Linked DNA regions of Callithrix jacchus. The protein of the gene in region 2 purifies or fractionates together with the protein of the main gene of each other region. This does not show direct contact. Links are inferred from orthologs where the notes say so. Each region holds a gene or a part of one and is shown on either strand. Other genes may lie near its edges.

Region 1 (4,970 bases), on a different chromosome or scaffold from region 2:
ATGCTTCATGTCACCCCTCCCACAAATACTTCTAGTCTGTTCAACTGCAGTCAATTCTGTATTGGCTTGCCTCTGAATTAGACTTCTGAAGTCTTTATACAGAGTAAAAGAAACAGATAAAAATCAAAGATTGTATTCTATTCTGTACTTTGACCCTGGAAAGGTATGGGTCTGCTTAAAAGAAAGAAGAAGAAACATACATGTAATCACAATAAAGCTTAACATTATGCAGGGCTTATAATCATTTTCAGGAACAGACTGCAAGCTGCACTGTGAAGAAAATGCATAGCAGAGGAGAAAGCTGGGGATCTGAGGAAACAGGTAAGGAAAAGTGTCAACACAGTGGAAGAAGTGATGAACATACCTACTCCGGAGCTCATGTGCCATGCCCTGCTAGGATGCCTTAACAAGCCACCTGCTCCAGAAGGCCACAGCCTGACGCTCCCAAGTGGAGTATGAATGCCCAAGGGCCACATGAAGCCACCTCCTCCACTACCTGCAAAGCTGTCTGGGAATTGAGCTACAGAACACACGCACTTTCTGGTCTAACCAACATCAAGTGAACGATTTTTTTTCCATTTCATATATCTATTTTTAATACAACTTAAATGCAACTTTCATATAAATTTGGGCTTCCACCAGTCCCTCTCCTCAATTTCCTTAGGAGGAACTGAGTAATTGAAACAAACAAAACAAGATTATAGCTATAAATGACTGCACTTTAAACGTGATTATCAATTTTGAGGGACAGAGATGTGAACGTTTTACAATACCAAACTTAAAAAAAAAATGTATTATAAAAACTGTAACTCATCCCCCAACATTTTAAAATGGTGGTATTATGTTTACACAAACAGATCAATACATTAAATTAAGCCAAGATCTTAAAGATTGGCAAAGTTCTATCATTCTATTTTAAAAAACAAAGATGTTACAAAAAAAAAAAGTTAGTTACTTCATGTTACATTTCACAACCATTATGTTAAATGTTTTCTTTTCTACAGAAACAGGGTCCTTTATATCACAACTGCAAGTATTTACTGCTAGATGTTTAAAGTTACACAGACTACTGTTCAACTGGAACCTGCTGATAGTAACATCTTGAAGTTTTCTGAGTTTCAACCTAAGGTGTGCCAGGTCCTCTCCTAGGACCACTTTTGCGGGGGTGGGGGGGGAGGGAAAGGAAATCACAGATCAAGCTCTTAAGATTGTATCACTCTCTTCGTGGCTTTCTGTTTCTTGGTGATCTGTTCAAAATTTCATCCTCCTATTGATTAAAAAAAAAAAAAGAAAGAAATTCAGTATAATTAGCACATTTAAAAAATAATAAAAGTTCATCTTATTTTCAAGGTCAGCCAGGCTGAGGATAATTTATTTAAGGAAAAAACGAGGAAAATGATTTGAAGAAAAATGCACCAAGAAGAATGGTGGTTTCAGAGGAGTGGAATTATGTCTAATTCAGTTTGGTCTTTATTGTTTTCTATAAACATACATTTTATCAATCTAATCCATAAACATTTTCTTAAAAAAGGATCAGACACTGTGATTTCTTAATCCCCAACAATCTACTGGCCTACGGCCACACTATCCCCATTCTGAGGATAAGAAACCAAGGATTCATGAAGATGGAAGGCTATCCAAGTAGACTGACTCCAAGGCTGCTGCTCTTTGTACTCTATTACCAGTTGCTAAGATTATAAATTACCCTATGAAAATACTCCCTTTATTTAAATGTGTCAGCAACTTTTTTAACGTGAGGAAGTTTGGGGGAGACATGGTCTCTACCTTCAAGAACTGCATTCTAGTTAAGAAAGAACATATCCATTGAAAATATACTAAAGATACAGATAACATTGATCTTTAGTAATAGGAAGGCAGAGTTGTTGTAGCTGCAAGTACCTGAGGAAAGCTTTCCAGGAGAGACCAGATTCAAACACAGAAGTGCTGGGAAAGGGACATTAGTAGGCAATGGTACAGACAATGACTGTTCCTTTTCTCTCATACTCTATATGTCCAATCTACCACAAAACCAAGCCAGAACTCCAACTAGTTCTCATACCCGCTGTTCCTCTCCTGTCACCCTTTGTGGGACTGCTGTATCTTTCCTAGATGATTACAGGAACCTCCTAACTGGTCTCTCTGATATATAGGAAACACAGCAGACACAGTCATCATCCTGTGACACCTGTACCCAAAAGCCTGTGATAGCTGCGCACTTCACTAGGAGGGAAAGCCAAGTCCACACAACAGTCTACTCTGGAGCCTTCTCCACCCTTCTTTTCTCCACTCTGTCTCTCAGCCCACTAGCCATAATGGCCTTAAAAGACAACCACTTTAGGGCTCAAACTGGCTGTTCTCTCTGCCTGGAATGCTCTTCCCACTGATATCCCCATGGAAAAGTTCTCTATCTCTTTCAAGTCGTTGGTCCAATGTCATCTGTCCAATAAGGTTTTAACATGGTGATCCGCCCTACCTCTAGCATTTTTAATAGCTTTTCCTGCCTTAATTTTTCAGAGTTTATCACTTCCTAATATACTATGTTATTTACTTCCTTACAATGTTTACTGCTCATTGCCTGTTTCCCACAAGCAGAATTTAAGCTCCCTAAAGGCAGCATTGTCTGTCTCATTTACAGACAATTCCTAGCACAAAATGGGCACTCATAAATATCAGGTAAATGAATGAACAAATCTATGAACAGGGACAAGAAGTTTAGAACACAGTGATTTGTACAAGAAATACCCTTTAAGGTACACAGTTATTTGTACAAGAAATATTTTTTAGTGAGGAGAGGTAGATAGGTTTTTAATGACCTAACGTTGTCTTCCTAGCAAGCATTTTATTTTCTCCCTACAACCTTCTGCTTATTCCAGAAAATCATTTTCAGCTAAAAGGATACATTTGAGATTCAGATGTAGCTTAAAATTATCAAACAAAACACTGACCTATATCACATAGAATCCCACTTCGACAAAATTGGCTTTAACAGAAATTTTACTGCCATAAGCCACTGTAAACTACCCTATCAAAATATTTCCTTTACATAAATGTACCTTCAACTTGGAAAAAAAAAAGTGTGACCCCTTTCTTTTACCTCTGCTTTAGGTTTTCTGTCTTCCTCCTCTTGACTGACAGTGCCACCATCTTCTTCAGCATCACTTTTCTGTTTCTCTTCTAAGACAGAAGTTAAACAACTGAGCAAACCTTATCATTATTTTTGTTGACAATTAGCATTAGAACACATCTCTAGATCTACAATTTTTTTTGAGATGAAGTCTTGCTCTTGTTGCCCAGGTTGGAGTGCAATAGCATGATCTCAGCTCACTGCAACCTCTGCCTTCAGGTTCAAGCAGTTCTCCTACCATGGGAGCCACTGTGCCTGTCCAACAATTTTTTTTAAGAGATAGGATCTGGCTGGGAGTGGTGGCTCACAACTATAATCCCTACACTTTGGGAGGCCGAGGTGGTAAAATAGCTTTAAGCCGGGAGGCATAGGCTGCAGTAAACTGAGATCACACCACTGCACTCCAGCCTGGGCAACAGGGCCAGACTCCATTTCAAAAAAAAAAAAAAAAATCAGCTGGGCATGATGGTGTATGCCTGTGGTCCCAGCTACTTGAGGGCCTGAGGTAGGAGGATCATTTGAACCTATAAGGTCGAGGCTGCAGTAAACCATGATCATGCCATTGCACTCCAGCCTGAGTTACAGAGTGGGACCTTGTCTTTAAAAAAAAAAAAAAAAAACGAGACAGGGCCTCACTCTATCGCTCAGCTGGAGTACAGTGACACTATCCTAGCTGATTATAGCCCTGAACTCCTGGGCTCAAGCATTTTTCCTTCTTCAGCCTCCTAAACTGCTACTATTACAGGCCTGAGCCACCACACCTGGTTGTAAACAATCTTTAACTTGACTGTAAAGGTTTAACAACATTGTCGGGTCTTGGTGTGAAGCAGATTATCTGGACTCTTATTTCTTACCAAGTTTCTCTTCGCCCTCTTCTTCCTCATCTCCCTTGTCTTTTTCCTCTTCCTTCTCTTCTTCCTCTTCCTTCACATCTGGTTGAGGTGCATCGGTCTTCTTATACTCCATAGCACTGGTCTGTTTCTGAAATATTCCCCAAAGTACAATTTCGTTTACATGTTCATGTATCATGTTATCATATTCCTGAATGCCTACAGGCAAAGTTCTGTTCCAGACTGCATACAGGGTTAGATATACAGAAACGAGTAAGATGTTATTTCCTACCCTGAAAAGCCTGTGTGTGTGTGTGTGTGTGTGTGTGTGTGCGCGCGCACACACACATTTCAAGGCAGAACACAAAAAGGGCCAGGTAGGAGAGTACAGGTCAAAAAAGTCAAGGTGACTGAGGCACAGATACTCAGAATAGTGGCAGAGGATGAGGCTGGAAAAAGAACTTGGGATCCAGTTACAAAGTGCTATGAATGCCAGATGAAGCATAATCCTGATTTAGCAGAAGTAGAGGGCCAAAATAAAACTTTCTTTTTTTATGATAGCATGCAACAAAGGCTAAATAAGAAAAACTAACAGTAAGGCTATGGTACCCCAACATACTGTTTTGAGAGTGGGGAAGGTGAAGAAAGAATAGATAATGAGGGACCAAAGACAGAATTACAAAGAACAGAAATAGCTATCTATGCCAGCAGGAAAAGCTGATTATTGTCTGAGTGGTTAGTTTTATATCTAAGTCTATTATAGTTTTAGAAAGCTAATATCAAACATTATGGAGAGTAACATATTAAGATAACAGTAGCGACCAAGGGGCTACAAATCCTGCTCCCATCTGGACACAATAAATGGCTATTGAGGAACAGTAAGTAAGTTTTCTAAAGTCAGCACCATACATGGCTCAGTCATTACTGAGCCACTACAAAGAAAACCTCAGGCAACATATCTTAGTTATTTTTTATAATCACCAGAGTGATGTCTCTAAAAGTGATTCTAAAAACAA
Region 2 (4,970 bases):
ATGGCTTACACTTATAATTCCAGCACTTTGCGAGGCCGAGGCAGGTGGATTGCTTGAGCTCAGGAATTTGAGACCAGCGTGGGCAACATGGTGAAACTCTGTCTCTACCAAAAATACAAAAAATTAGCTGGGCATTGTGGTGAGTGTCTGTAGCCCCAGATAGGAGGCTGAGATAGGGGGTTCACTTGAGCATGTGGGACCACTTAAGCCTGGGAGGCAGAGGTTGCAGTGAGCCAAGATTGTGCCACTGCCATCCAGCCTGGGTGACAGAGGGAGAACCTGTTTCAAAAAACAAAAAAAAAAGAGAAAATATAATTTTTTTATAATGAAACAAAACAACAAAAAGAATGGTAACTATGAAAACAAGGCAACAACTTGGAAACAAGTGCTCTGCCAAATGTCAGGCAGAATAAAAATATCTGTTTATATTATAATGAAAAATATATCAAAGTTGCACATGCCAGGCTGAAAGGATCTATGGAAACCTAAACAGTTGACAATCTGGAGTGACACCAGTCAACTATTTGGTGATAGACTGACAACTTGAGCGACTGCTTTATTTCCATTGCTGTTGTTAAATACAACAAATACATAAATTTCAGAACTTTAAACAAACAGGTAAAAACCCACTTTAACACCTAGGCCACACACAGTGGCCTACACCTGTAATTCCAGCACTTATTGCTTGAGCTCAGGAGTTTGAGACTAGTCCAGGCAACATAGTGAGACCCTGTCTCTACATAAAGTAAGCATGAGCATGGTGGCACAGGCCGGTCATCTCAACTACTTGGAAGGCTGAAGCGGGAGGATCATTGAGCCTAGCAGGTGGAGGCTGCAGTGAACCAAGATCGCACCACTGAACTCCAGCCTGGGTGACACAGTGAGACCCTATCTCAAAATAAATAAACAAATAACACTGTAAGTTAGCAAAATATTGCTAATTATTAAAGATAAATGATGAGTACACAGGGGTTACTATTCATTATATCTACTATACTCTGAAATTTTCCATAATAATTTTTAAGTAACACCTTGACCAAACATTCTCAAGGGAGGAAAAACCTCACCTCATAGAGGTTTAATCTGGACTTTCAATCTACTACCACATGCCTAAATTTTTAATAGGCAAAAAGCTGCTCCAAAGTAACTCTATATTCCTATATTTAGAATCTTATATTGAAGCAATAAAATCTGCCTCAGAGGCAGTTCTTTTTATGGCATTTCCATTAACAATAATTTTCAAGTGGAATATGCCAGGGGATCCAAATCAGAAGGGAGGCCTCAAACACAAAAGCTTCATTCTTTTCCATCAGACTATCCAGCTTCGCTCTCTGCAAAGGGTCACATAAAGAAATTAGATTCAGCTGACACAATTCTTTCTGCGTTGTCAATTGAGTTAAAGACTGAAAAAGGGGCAGAGCCCAGAGAAGATAAAAGCAAAGGGGACCAAGCGGTGTGCAGTCCCAATGGCGAGCAAAGGTGCCACACCTAGCAATCCTGTATCGTTGCTCCGGAGGTTCCAAAGGGCTTTCACTGCTCGTCTGGCCACCCACTCAAATGTGGAGTCCCCCAGCAGTCGGCTCAGAATCCCGAATTCCACCAGGAGGGAACCAGCTCCCGCTGTGCACGTCTCATTATTGCTGTCAGGAGGAACTCCTGTCTTTAGATTTACCTGGGGATGGGAAGAGATAAAGACTATGACAAAACTCAAGGAACCCACAGGGCTGAAAAGCTGGATCTCAAAGACTACACTTGGCTAATAAACGAAGCTTACCAGTGAGTCAGCTCTCTGCCTTCCAAGATACAGATGAGGTGAATGTGGGAATTAAATTTAAAAGACACAAACAAGACAATAAGAACAGCAGAGCCTTGCTTTATTAAGAGGAGCAAGTCTTCAGGGAAAGGCTATAACACTTCACTAAAACGTCTCTTTCCACCAAGTTTTCTTCATGGTAACACAGACACCAGGCTTTAGGGTTAGATACCAAGGCAAACTATAGAATTGCTTCTAAATTTTAAGTGAGCCACTATGAACTCACTCCTGCTCAACACCTAAACAAACCTCCAACTGGAAGAGAAAGGAGGCACTGCCAGAATATGACAGCCTGTTTCATCATGAAGGCTCTGTGCTCTGGCAATTCTCAGCCAGTTACCTAAAAGGCTGACTCAATTCCCAGAGGAGTTCTGGGCCTGGCAAATCAGATGTCACAAAGATAAAATCTAATTCCAGATCCTGGCATTTAAATCAGCAGCTAACTTGCTGGTCTGTGCAGGCTCTATTTGAAAGATCCATGTGAAGCATTCAAAAGAACACTCACTGAGCTTCTGCAATACCCATGTGAGAATCTCTGGGGAAACAAACCCAAGTCAGAGATGAAGACAAACTCCCCACACTGCTTTGTAGCAGGGAATATAAATCACACATGTAAATGAATTTAAGAATACTGAACCTCACAGAACATCAATTCCTTAAAGGGGAAGGAATAAGTCAGATATGTCACTGTTTGCCTTTTATACAGTGGATGCTCAGTAAATGCTGAATTAATTTTAAAATATTTACATAATATTTAAGGCCAAATTCTCCTAAAGACACTGCTTTTCTCATCTATCTCCATCCCACTCCTTCTCCCAAATAAATTAATAAACAAAGAATTTTAATTCAGGAAGAGAGTAAACTGTCAAACACAAAGGGTCAAACCAGTCTACCCACCCGAGGAAATGGAATTCCTGTCTTGGTGTTTTCAAAAGCAGGGAGGAGCCGCACGGCCAGGTCATGAGCCATGTATAACAACTCATTATCATAATCCTTAATTGTCATATCACCAAAGGGCTGCTTGGAGTCAGTTATTATTCTGTGAGCAGAAAGGAGGCTTCCCAGAACCCTGATGACAGGAAGAACAAAAACATAATACAATCATGTTGCTAATAAATGCTCATAATACAATTCACAAAGACAGAAGTACCTTTATATCCACATAGACTCAGAACTACCTGACGTCAGAGAGACCTGACTTAATGGCCTCTTAAACTCCTTTATACCTCTAATAAAACATGACAGATTTTTGTTAACCATATTACTAAAAGAGGGAAAGGGAATCATTTATCCGAGGCTACCAAAAACAATACTATTTATTAACAATTTTGGTAAATTAAATCTTAGAGCATTAAGAAAAGGGAGTTGCACTTTGGGAGGCTGAGGCGGGTGGATCACGAGGTCAAGAGATCAAGACCATCCTGGTCGACAAGGTGAAACCCCATCTCTACTAAAAATACAAAAAAATTAGCTGGGCATGGTGGCGCGTGCCTGTAATCCCGGCTACTCAGGAGGCTGAGGCAGAAGAATTGCCTGAACCCAGGAGGCGGAGGTTGTGGTGAGCCGGGATTGCGCCACTGCACTCCAGCCTGGGTAACAAGAGCGAAACTCCATCTCAAAAATAAAAAAAAGAAAGAAAAGGGAGTTGGCTGGGTGCAATGGCTCATGCCTATAGTCCTAGCACTTTGCCAAGGGAGATGGATCGCTTAAAGCCAGGAGCTCAAGACCAGCCTAGGCAACAAAGCAACACCCTGTCTCTATTAAAAATAAAAATTAAAAAAAAAATTAGGCTGGGCATGGTGGCTCACACCTATAATCGCAGCACTTTAGGACGCTGAGGTGAGTGGATCACCTGAAGTCGGGAGTTCAAGACCAACGTGACCAACATGGAGAAACCCCATCTCTACTAAAAATACAAAGAATTAGCCAGGCATGGTGGTGCATGCCTATAATCCCAGCTACTTGGGAGGTTGAGGCAGAAGAATAGCTTGAACCTGGGAGGCGGAGGTTGTGGTGAGCTGAGATCACACCAGTGCACTCAAGCCTGGGTAATAACAGCAAAATTCCATCTCAAAATAAATAAATAAAATTAGCCAGGTGTGATAGGACACACCAGTAGTCCCAGATACTTGGGAGGCTGAGGCGGAAGGATCTCTTGAGCCTAGAAGTTGAAGGCTGCTATGATCATGCCACTACACGTCAGCCTGGGTAACAGAGCAGGACCCTGTCTCTTTCAAAAAAAGGAAAAAAAGAGGGAGTATACTAATTGTTCTCAGAATATTGCCTATTAGTATTATTAAATTACTCTTGATTTATTTCACTTGGAGAAAACACTCATAAAAAACAGAAGCTGGGCATGGTGGCTTTTGCCTCTAGTCCCAGCTACTTCAGAGGCTGAGGTGGGAGGATCATTTGAGCCAGGAGTTCAAGGCTGCAGTGAACCGTAATAACACCACTGCACTCCAGCCTGGGCAACAGAGCAAGACCCTACTCTAAAAATAAAAAAAATAATTTAAACTTTAAAAAAAACAGAGAAAGTTAAGACAATTACTAAGTAATTTTTGTAGTTTTGGCTGCCAAGCAACTGTTGAACTTCCCTAATACCTTAACATCTAGTAAAGAAGCAAGGTGAGGAGGAGGAGGAGGAGAGAATGACCTACTGAGAGGGAGCAGGCTAACAGCTTACACCTATGTCCTGGTAGACCCATAAAGTCCCATTCTAATGATCTGTAGACTGTGACATATGTTAGAACAAAGGTTTTCATAATTCTAATTTTAAATAAGTATTACAACTGTTAACTGGAATGTTATGCAGTAATACAATTATCAAAAAATTTAAACAGGAAAATAATCACAACAAATTAAAGCAAAGAAATCAATATACAACATACTAGGTATAGAGTATGATCCCAATGCGCTAAACAGAGAGCGAGAGAGAGAGAGAAATAGAAGAGATATATTTAACAAGGATAATATACTAAAATGGTAAGCAGTGATTTTCTGTGGGTGGTGAGATGGGGAACTCTCATTTTCTTCAGAAATAGGTAGGGGTTTTCCGAGGACATCATGAAAGAAGTAAATGAGATCAGACTATAAAGAGAAATCATGAAATTCTGTTCTAGACAGACACCTATTTTACACCCCCATTAAAACATAA

What was found. Proteins that work in one complex are often made in the same cells at the same time.
Region 1: the proteins of EDEM1 (region 2) and CANX purify together in Homo sapiens (affinity purification with western blotting; 6 studies listed by BioGRID and IntAct, with this or other methods). This does not show direct contact. The link is inferred for Callithrix jacchus from reciprocal best matches to the Homo sapiens genes EDEM1 and CANX.

The regions. Positions count from the first base shown.
Region 1 is NC_133503.1:71,923,553-71,928,522, forward strand, and holds part of CANX (calnexin), read right to left. Parts: intron 4,106-4,970; coding exon 3,979-4,105; intron 3,175-3,978; coding exon 3,095-3,174; intron 1,268-3,094; coding exon 1,214-1,267; 3' UTR 1-1,213. UniProt on the Homo sapiens protein: Calcium-binding protein that interacts with newly synthesized monoglucosylated glycoproteins in the endoplasmic reticulum. It may act in assisting protein assembly and/or in the retention within the ER of unassembled protein subunits.
Region 2 is NC_133516.1:62,315,520-62,320,489, reverse strand, and holds part of EDEM1 (ER degradation-enhancing alpha-mannosidase-like protein 1), read right to left. Parts: intron 2,883-4,970; coding exon 2,711-2,882; intron 1,673-2,710; coding exon 1,489-1,672; intron 1-1,488. UniProt on the Homo sapiens protein: Extracts misfolded glycoproteins, but not glycoproteins undergoing productive folding, from the calnexin cycle.